2 linked regions of the Nothobranchius furzeri genome follow. The protein of the gene in region 2 interacts with the protein of the main gene of each other region in a biochemical or structural test. Links are inferred from orthologs where the notes say so. Each region holds a gene or a part of one and is shown on either strand. Other genes may lie near its edges.

Region 1 (5,465 bases), on a different chromosome or scaffold from region 2:
AATAAAGAAATGAGTACGGACAGAAAAATGTGCAGAAAGCAGAGCTGTTGTAAAAGGAAGCTGCGTCTCCTCCGAGAGACAGAGCATCTTCGCTTCAGGGATTTTACCTACCAACCCGTCTAGTGCCACTTTATGAGGAGGTTTAAAACTTTGCTTGCACTGAAATTTGCACACAATCAACCCAAACTTTATTTATGATTTATTTTCTCTAACTTGTTAAAATGCATCAGCAAACATAAAGATTTTAATTTTATTTATTGAAAAAAACAAGAAAGGTTTTGATTAAATTCAATAATAATTTCAATCCCAAATAAAACTAGAGAAAAAAAAACGCATCTCATTGTGATTTTTTTATTATTATTTAATGCAGTTTATGCAGATTCAAATGACACAAGAGTTCCACACAAATAAAATGTGTTCTTACTTTTTGATGCAAACAATTTTATTAAATTACATGGAAGGGAAACAGTTACATGAATGACATTTTTTACATGAAGCCATTAAGAAAGGACGTTTTATGAGGTAAAAACTTTTAAAAATGTATGAAACAAAAGTTGATTTGACTTGAAGATGCTTTTACTCTCACAGATATCTTGATACGTTCATAATTTTTGACTCTTTAATTTCCTGTACCTGGTTTAAATCTTGTGTCCTTTCTGTGTGCAGTTTGCATGTTCTCCCTGTGCCTAAAGACATGCATGTGAGAGTCATTACAACATCTAAATTGGCTGCAGGAGTGTGTTTGGGACGTGTGTTACCGCTGTGGTGAACCGAGGAGTTCACGGCGTTCCCTGCTTTTTCTTCAGGGATGAATCCCAGCCTCAACGGGACGAAGCAGGTGGGAAAGAAGAAATGGGTGGATGAAATTTAGTCATTAATGGTTGCCTACAACGAGGGGATACTTTTGAGTGATGCATTGAATAATTGGGACACACACACACACACACACTGGCATTGATTTACTAAACTTGGTGACAATGAAGGAATCATTTCCTTTGCAGAACAGTGATTGCTGCCACTGTGTGTTCCAAAACAGACCTTGCTGTCCCAGAGTTTAGCTGTCTGTCCTCTAGGGGGACACTCAGACAGCAGAATGACTTCACACTGCAACAAAAAAAAAAGAAAAAAACATGCACTGCAAGTCATTTTATCACTACTTCATTTTTATTCTCAAAGTTTCATTGCAAAATGTCCAATTTCTTCTATAATTAGTTGCAACAAAATGTTTCAATATTTTTTTCTTTTTTGTTAAATCTCATGTGGGATCATCTTGTTTTGATCCTGTCAGTATCATAAAGCTACATGAATACCATCCTAATTACTGTTTATAAAAAGAGCCATTTTAACAGCTCAGATGCACAAAAGATGCATAAAAGAGAATAAGCTCCGTGGTTCTTCCTCTTCTCACCATGATCACCTTTTCCCCTTTGTTGTAGCAGCAAAATATCCCAAACCCTTTCCACATCTGTAGAAACTCTTCACCTGTGAGCCTGAAGCAGGAAATCACCTTTGCACCGTGACATTACAGTGCACCACTGGACCGACTGGATAATTAACGCTATAGTCATAGTTTCTATGAAGTGTCATGAGTCTTAATCAGCATCATCTTTGATTTCTAGTTACTGGACGTGAGAAAAGGGCTCATCTTGTCCACAAAATCATGTTTGATGTGTTAACGTGACAATGTTGTCAAGAACTTCTGTTCTGTTTTACAATCATCTCTTAACTTTTAGGAGAGGTCAGATCAACAGGACGATGTCATTGCTCAGGACTCTTAATGTGCTGCATTATTTTTTATTCATTTTTGCCTTAAAGGTGGTTTAATTCTTTCTTTTTTTTCATTCTTTTATTCCAACAAAGTCTACATTTTGCTAAACGAATCACGGTGGGATTGGTGAGAAGCCTGCAGATCAGCTTGACTCATCTACTGTAGTGGCACTCTGAGTTTTTCCACTTCATGGTTACCAATTATGCAAATCATATTTAGGATGCAAATAAATAAGGTCTCAACAGCTGGCATCTCCTTAGTTGTGTCTGTGTTGCTAAAGTCACTCTGTCTTGCAATCTTTGAAAGCACCTCCAGTTTCAGCCGGTCTGAAAGTTAAAAGTCTGGTTATTATTATTATCATTATTATCATTATTATTATTATTATTATTATTATTATTATTATTATTATTATTTGATAGATGATAGTCAATATCATTTCCTGTAAATCCCAGATGACCGGAGCTTGTATCATTGAATTAATCCCTGGTGTGACGCGAACGGAGGCAGGTAAAGAAAACAAAGTATTGGCCAGAAAGAGGCCAATTAGGTAGTCATGACATCACCGTGGGCTGGCTATAAAGCGCTGAGGTCTAATGCTGGGAGTCAGAAGTGCAGCTGAGGAGCTTTCTGAGGGAAGGACAAACTCAGTCTGACTGAAGCTGCCGTCAGAGGAAACCTGGAGACAGGGCGACACTTGTCAACATGAACTGGTCCTACTTGGTGGCTTGTGGACTTTTGGTCACCTTGCTTTCAGAAAGGATGGGAGCAAAACCTTTAAGTCAAGCGCAGCAGAAGGTAAGCCACTTGTATCCCCATGAGGATTTGCACTCTCGGATGTTGGAAGCAGTTTCAGGGGAGAACAGCTGTTTCCTGACGCGCTCGGGTCTGTTATTTTACGCGTCACGTTTCATCCTTTTAGTTTCGTTTACACGTTCAGAAAAAGATTCATTTCCATATTAAAAGCCTTAAACCTTCTACTCAGATCTCCTTCGTTTCCCTTTATCCTCGTTTAAAAGCCCGCAGAGACAGTTTTAACCTTTCGTGACCTTTCATTCACTCGTTTGAGATTATTAGCGCTAAAGAAAAGCAAATAAAAATGTTTAAATCATTTGTAAGCACAGTTTAATGATAAGAAAGCTCACAAGCCTGTAAACATGGAGTTGAACACTATTTTTGCATTATGTCAGCAACAAGTCCTAATTAACTGATCCGGTTTGTGCGTAAAACTGAACCAACACCGGATGAAACCATGAAACAGATACAATACATAATTTTACACTTAGAGTTGAGCTTTATGAAGGCAAGGGTTATTGCCACGTTTTGGAGTGGAGGACCCAGGAGCAGGCACCTGTTTTCCAGCATGTAATTGTTCTCGGAGCGCACGGTGCCCACGCGGAATGTCACTTGGTAAAAATCAGCCTTCGGGGTTTTAACATTGTGGATTTCTTTGAAGTTTGAATCTAAACGCGTGTTATTATGAGTCTCTTGCTGTCTTATTTTTCTGGTTAGAACCACATCTGAACCCCTCGGGGCTCTTCGTTCCTCCTGCTGCCTAATGCGCTCTGCACCAAGTTGAGGTCTACCTCACATTCTGAGGAAATTCTGTTCAAACAAGCACCCGAGCGATCTGAATCCGATTCCAAACCGATACCTTTGCGCGGCCTTCTTTGCCCCAGGGACCCAATGTTTATCTATTTTCTTCTAATCTTCCAGTCTCTTAGAAGTTTGTTGGGTGAAGAGCTGGCGGAGTTTCTGGAGTCGGAGGAGAGGGAGAAGCGGGTGGACGCGGTACGCGCTAGGATGCGGTTACTGCGGGATTTACGGATGGACACCCGGGCCAGAGGGATGTGGGCTCGTCTCCTTAACGACCAGCCCGCAACTAGGAGGCACAAGTCGGGAAGCAAGAAGGCGGGCTCGTCGTCACGGAGTGGCTGCTTCGGACACAAGATGGACCGGATAGGAACCCTCAGCGGGATGGGATGCTAAAGAGCGCAGCGATGGTGAGCTCACATCACATCCGCATCCTTCTGCTTCTCCAGATGGAGCCACTGTAACATCACACACAGGAGCCACAGCAGAGATTAATTCAGCCAAAATGAATGCTCATTTAAAAAAAAGATTTTTGTCAAATTTGCAGAAAAGAAGAAGTATGTGCAAAAAAAGAAAATTATAAAATAAAGAGCATTAATGCTTATCACTGGAGAAGATACACTAAAGTATAATTTAGATATCAGAGGCACATCTCACTGATGAAGCAATTATCATGACTAAGTCTTATTGAGCAATCAAACTCAAGAGTTGGAGAAATCAGATGTCATAGTGGATCTGAGTGATCACACATACTGACCTTTGTCAAACTTCTGCAATCACAATGAGCAAAAAGTAGAAACCCTTCATAGAAAAGCCCGTCTCAAACTGATCTGGGAGCAGTCTTTAAGTCCAATTTCTTATTACTGCTCCCGGTTGTGCCAAACGGCCTCATACATCGCATTTTGGGAAGAAAAGGAGACAAGGAGGAGGGAGCCGAAATTTATTCAGTCTCCTGCAAACAGAGCATCCTGCGGCGGTCAGGATCTTTCTGGAAAAGCCATTTTCTCAACCCAAGAGTTTTGGCCCAAAACAGGGAAGGGGTTGTGTTGGTCAGTGAAGTAATGCAGACGCTATAGGTGACACACAATTAGTCCTGAGGGTTGTGGCCTTTCTGTGGTCGTGGTGAACTGTGGAACCATGATGCAGATGTGTGATTTTTGTAACTAACGGAAGCGACTCTGTTCCTCATCGGTCAAAAGTTTGCATTATGGTGAAGTGAGAAATCAGAGCGGTAATTAGACCGCTGAGCAAACACTGGAAATTCCTTAAATAAGGATGAGAATTCACACGATGAGTGCCTTTTACAATCAGTCTAAACCTTTATGTTTTTCTTCTAGATCTCTGGACGATGGGTTTGGACGATGCAAGACGAATTTGCCGTCCCCTGAAAGAACAGAAAAGAAATAAATAAGAGAAAAAAGATCCAAGTGACAAGATTTTTGGTACGGAAGTGACCACAACCAGCATTAAGAGACTGAGATGACAATGCTGCAAAGTCCTTGCAAAGAAAGAAAACTATATATATATATATATATATATGTATGTATGTACATGACAAGTTCATTTGCAAAAATAGATTATTTTGTTTTCATTACGGACATCAGTGATATCAGTCATAACTTTGATGATTTTGATCAAAAATGACGTTTATCTTTTTCTTAAAAGGAACTCCCCATATATTTATGATGGAAATGCAGGTAGCTAAACATAAACATAAACACAACAGTCTACAGATAGAAACATAGATGCATACTGCTACATTGTGGATGACGGTGTAAAAACTACTAACCACAAAAAGCTGTACATTAATGCTGCTGCTGTACATTCAAGTAATTCATCTTCCCCTGCATAAATGTATTTATGTTTAAAAGTATTTATATGTTTATAAAAAAGAGATATTTATAAATATGACTTTTATTTATGTAACATTTTGAAAATGAATGCAAACATCAGATGGATTCTGTTTGTTACATTTTTTTCTTTTGTCTTTCATAATTGTAAATGTAAAAAAAACTGATAAAAAGAACCTCCATGTGCACTTACACACATTTTCTGGGTGTATTTTTCACTAGAATGGCTCCATTTTAAACATTTCACACTGGCTTTG
Region 2 (5,315 bases):
AGATTTCACATCTTCTGGAATCAGGGATGGATCTGAAGCTCCAGCTTTATTAACTTTTCTGAAATTCCATAAACAAAGCATCAAAGCTGGTTCTTAAAGAGCAAGTCACCCCCTACCAGAGTATTACTCCACTCCCACTTCCTGTTTGAAAAATGCAACAAATGCTGTTGCCTAGCAGACCGAGAGGGCGGAGCCGCTAACAAATACACACACACGGGCTCACAACGCCATTTTGACATCATATGGTACCAGCTAACGTTCTAGGGTACCTCTTAGCCAATAGCGATGGCAGATTTAAATTCAAATGCAGTGCAGAGTTTTTACCTGACAATGGCACAACACTGACAGTTTTAGGCAGAAAATTAAAATTTTAACTGTCTGTGAAGGTTCTCAGTCATCCAGGTCATTGTAGTCTGATGAGCTTTGAAAGAAAAGCATCTGGACTTCTTTGAGTTGCTTGAAGACGTTTCACCTCTCATCCGAGAGGCTTCTTCAGTTCTAAGGTCAAATGGTGGAGAGTCCCAGATTTAAACCCCGTGGGAGTTTCCCCCCGAAGAGGGAACAAAAGACCCCCTGATGATCTTCTACATAAACACATTGAGGGTGGGTGTGGGTCCTATTCAGCCAGAGTTTCGGGTGAGCTCGAAACTCAAAATTTTAACTCAAATGCACTAAAGTGCAAAACTATTGACTACACTTGTCTGCAGCACGATTAGACACGCATTTATATAGTTTATCAGGGAAAATGAGTTGTTTTGGGGGTGACTTGCTCTTTAACAGTTTAAACGTTGTGCTCAAATAAAATAGTTTCAGTGTCCCAGTCGACATCTTTGTGTTGTAGCATTAAGCCTTGTTTAATTACACCAGTGGAAAGTCATGCATGCTCCTGGTAATTAAGCTCCTGCAGTCTGCAGCATGATCAGACACGCATTTATATAGTTTGTCAGAAAAAAAGTTGATTTGGGGGTGACTTGCTCTTTAATTTAAAAGAACATCCAGATATCGAGAGTTTAAATGTAAACGTGGTCTAATTCAGTCACCAATCTGCTTTCTGTCTACAAACAAGGAAAATCATCTGGAAGAATTTTCTAAGGTGGTATTTTTCATTTTCTTTGGATTCAAATCCTGACGGAAAACGGCCGGATCCATTTTTAGTTCAAGTCTGTTACAAACATGTAATAACCATCCAGCTGTTGGTATTTATGTGTTTATTCTGTGTTTTCAAAAAGGTATTTTAATGTTTAATAAAAAACTTTGCTTCCCTCACTGGGCCAATGTTTCCCAACCCTGGTCCTCAGGTTTTCCATGTCTCTGCTTCAGCACACCAGGATTACGTCGGCTCCTCAGGAGGACATCAAGTGCTGCAGATGCCCGTTAACCACTCATTCATTTAAGTCAGGTGTGGCAGCAGGGAAACAGTGGTGTTTAAAAAGGCAACACTGCACCAGGCAACGTTACCTTATCATTTAAGGTAAATTATGGGATGTTCTGAGACGTGTGAGGGTTGTAAAATCATGTAGACTTTTTAAAATTCAGACCAGATGAGTTTTTATGAGTGAAGAGTTGATTTTAGCGGGTTTTACTGCAGCTAAATTAATGAATTTTCCTCTGAATCCGTGTTTCTGTTCCCTGCAGCGTGGGCGCTTGTTTGCAAATTCGATCACCAGGAGGGAATTTCTGCTGCTGTGTGTAAATAACAGAAAATTCCAGACTTTATCTGGATGTTATGTCCTGAAAAAAAGATTTATAGAGAAAGTTGGTGCATCATTTGAGCCCGGCATTTTCTTTCTTTTTCCAGTGAGTTTAAAACTGGACAACATTCCTGTCTGTTGGGAATCAAGCCTTTGACAAACTCTGCTGCCATTCCTAACCAGGAAAAACAAACTTCACCAGAAAACTAAGATGTGTTTTGGGTGAATTTTGCACGAAAATTAGCTTCATCTGAACGTTTCCTGCCTTTTTCTGCCTGCAGGAATTCTGCTGGGATGAAGGAGAGCCGAGCGGAATGCCGAGGCAGGACAAGCCCGGACAAACCCATCAGCTCATATGACCTCCAGCTCTGTGCAGCAGCTGATTCCCCTCTCCGTGTTACAGTGGGTCAGGAGAACCGGAACGCTGCCGGGCCTGCTGTCTGGAAGCATGGAGACGTTGAGCTGCTTCCAGAGGTGATTCCCTCCAGATGTTTCCTCCATTCTGGGTTTCTGTGCTCACAAGTTATCTCTGGATATCAAAATCAGCCTCAGATTTAGGGGGAAAACCTAAGTTTTAAAGCTGATTTCATAAAAGTGCTGCAGAAACGAGCCTGTTTGAGACCATCTCTGCAGCTGTCTGCAACTTTTCCACAAATCAGCACAAATATTCCAGCTGAGGCCTTCTGGATCCTCCAGCTCCTTGTTTCTGAGTGAATGTTTGTGTTTTTAAACCATCAAGTAAAGAGTGCTTCAGCTTCAGGTGGTTTTATTAAGCTGAAACGTTTCATGGTGAGGAGGGATTTATTAAGTATCTATTATTTAGCTCAGATCCGTTTCTGCTGTTGTGATATTAAACCGGTGACGTCAACAGAAGCCCATCAGCAGCTGAACTTTGGGCTCTGAGGGTGAGAAAGTGGAGCTCTGCTGAACTTACTCCTCCCGTTCTCCTGCATGAACGCGATCAGCTCCTTGTAGTCGGTCTCGTCGGTGTACGGTCGGGCCTCGATCGTCACGTTCATCTCCCGGTCCAGGTTGAAGAAGATGCCCTCGGTCAGGAAGTAGTGCGGCCGGTCGTCCTGCCGCAGGTCGTAGAAGACCACCGCGGCCCGGGACGTCCAGTTGAAGTGCGTGTGCAGCGCGTTGGCAAAGTCCCCCATCTTGGTGGTGGTGGGCCCGCTGCGCACGATGGTCCGGTACTCCACCCGGTCGTCGAAGCCGTGCGCGGGGCCTCCTGCGGTGATCAGCGGCAACTTCCAGTGGGACGCGAAGCGCGCCACGGAGGCCAGCGGGTACACGCAACCCGGTCCGAAGAACACATCCGGGCGCACGTAGAGCTTCGCGTCCACTGCCAGCACCTGCGCCCGGCTCACCGCGCACGTGCGCGCGGCGGGGTCCTCCGTGCTGTAGTTCAGGATCCGGATGGTGCGGCCGAGCAGCAGCTTGTGTTTACCGGCCAGGTCTTCGTGCGCCATGAGGATGGCCGGGAAGACGCGCGGCAGAGCCCACGGGTACTTCTGGTGGTCGTCCGGTAACATCACGGCCACCGTGATGTTGCTCCTGCAGCCGCGGAGGAGGCAGCAGGACAGCGCTGCGAACAGGCAGCATCCGAGCGCGCTCCTGCATCCCATGTCTCTGGTCCTGGAGAGCGACGCACGGACACGGAGGGCGCACAGCGCGGAGAGGAGGCACTGCCGGCCACGGATCGGTCACTCCACACCAGAGGGGTCCTGCTGTTTGTTGCTAAAGTCAGCGAGAGTCGGTAAAGGCGTTATCCCGCTGTGCCGGTCTGCGCCATGCGTCCCGCTGCGTAAAATCCACCTTAGAGGGAGTTGTAGTTTCCACAGCGCGTTTCCCGGTGCAGCGCGGTCCTCCGGTGCCAGACTCCCTCAGAGTGATAACAAACGTCCGGGTGGCTGGGGCTTAAATCACAGCAGCCCCCCTCCCCCTACAAACGTCACACTGACACGAACGGGTTCTCCAGGTCCTGGACCAGAACCTCCGAGTTCCTGTCAGCTTCAGCGGAGCTACTAAATATATTTGACTGTTGTTGTTCTCTGATCAGCACGCCGAATTTAAATAATAACTCTGATGTTGTTTCCCAAAAATTATGAAGCAAATCTAAAAAAAATCTGACTTTTTTGCTTCTAAAATCAAGATTTAAAGCAAACCGAGTTAAAATTCAGCTTTTTCTTTTTACTGTGTGCGAATTTAAAAAGTCTATAGAAATAAAAGAGAAGTACAGGAACGAGTCTCCCCCTGCAGGCTGCCTCACGCTCTGCACCAAGAGTCTTTCTGATAAAAAAAAGGACAGAATAATAAAGATTTGTAATCAAAGCTTTTTCCTGTTTGCTTTGACTTTATGTTTAAAATGTTTAAAATGATAAAACATTATCTGTCTTTTTGTGGAATCGATCTGATTTGTTCTGGTTTATTTTGCTGTCTTCACTGTTTGGCTGATCAACTTTAAACCAAAGCTTTAACGCTTTCATCCGATTTTGTTGCCTGACTATATTTCCACCCGTTCATTCTTACCTAAAACCTCACTCCTTTTTGATTCCGTTTCACTTAACAGGCTCTAAAACAATGGAAATCTGCACCTATTTTATCTTTTCTCTGATAGGTTGCTAAATATTCATTGTTTATTTTTTTTACTTTGATCTAGAATCGTTTTTATTTTTCTAATCTCGTGTTTATTTTTTGTTTCTGTCCTGCTGTTTCACTGTTTTAGTTTAAAAGTTTTAAAATAACCAGTTTTAGGTGAAAATCGCAGTTAGAGTTGCTGTTGGAACGATTTTAGTCAAATCGCTCAAACTCCTGCTGAGGAGAATTATTACAGAAAAAATGTTACGGTTTGAGCTTCATAATATTATTTCTAAATAAACGTTTGGTTTAGTGTCATAAAGAGAGGTCTGGCGGAGGCGCACTGCACTGATAACGTTTTTAATGACATTTTCCTGGCTACCGCTGACGTCGTTAGGTCCGTTTTAGGGGGGCTTCAGCCCCCCTAAAATAATCACAAGCCCCCCTATCATTTTGGTTTATTTTATTTTTTTCAGTTAACTTTTTTTTATTTGTTCACATCTACATGCTGAACACAATCACGACACGTGCAGTTGGTACATGAGTTTTTTAGTCTGAAACAGAAATAATAATTAATGAATATAGAACTACACCGTCGCACACAGGAAGTATCAAGAAAGAACTTCCTCCACTTCCTTAAGCCCGCAGCTTTGTTGACAAGTCAGGGGGCGGGTCGATACAGAAAAACCTATATATCGATGAGCAAACCCTGCTCAGCGCTCATGTAAGTCACTCAACATCACATTAGGGTAAGACAGCAACAGCAGCACACCGTTAACATTTCAAGGTTATAGTTCAGACGAGAGTGGAAAATGCTACCGCACCGACATGCTAATGCTAACTCCGCTAGCATGTTTACATGCCGCAAACCATAATGAAAAGCTTTGATGTCAAGTAAAATGGTCGGAAAACTCCCCTGAAGTGACATGATTAACCAGCCAGCCAGTTCATTGAGTGACTTAGTGCCACCAACTTGAGCGTACAGTAATGAGTCTGCACAAACAGAACCTGTTCTGCGCTTGTGTGCAGGAGCTACAGCCCTCT

The links. The genes of interacting proteins can lie anywhere in the genome.
Region 1: the proteins of npr2 (region 2) and nppc form a complex in vitro, tested with the Homo sapiens proteins (3 studies listed by BioGRID). The link is inferred for Nothobranchius furzeri from reciprocal best matches to the Homo sapiens genes NPR2 and NPPC.

The regions. Positions count from the first base shown.
Region 1 is NC_091748.1:62,957,259-62,962,723, reverse strand, and holds the start of nppc (C-type natriuretic peptide), read left to right. Parts: upstream 1-2,356; 5' UTR 2,357-2,470; coding exon 2,471-2,563; intron 2,564-3,481; coding exon 3,482-3,754; 3' UTR 3,755-3,768; intron 3,769-4,695; 3' UTR 4,696-5,465.
Region 2 is NC_091746.1:73,579,466-73,584,780, reverse strand, and holds the start of npr2 (atrial natriuretic peptide receptor 2), read right to left. Parts: upstream 3,454-5,315; 5' UTR 3,320-3,453; coding exon 2,626-3,319; intron 1-2,625. UniProt on the Homo sapiens protein: Receptor for the C-type natriuretic peptide NPPC/CNP hormone. Has guanylate cyclase activity upon binding of its ligand. May play a role in the regulation of skeletal growth.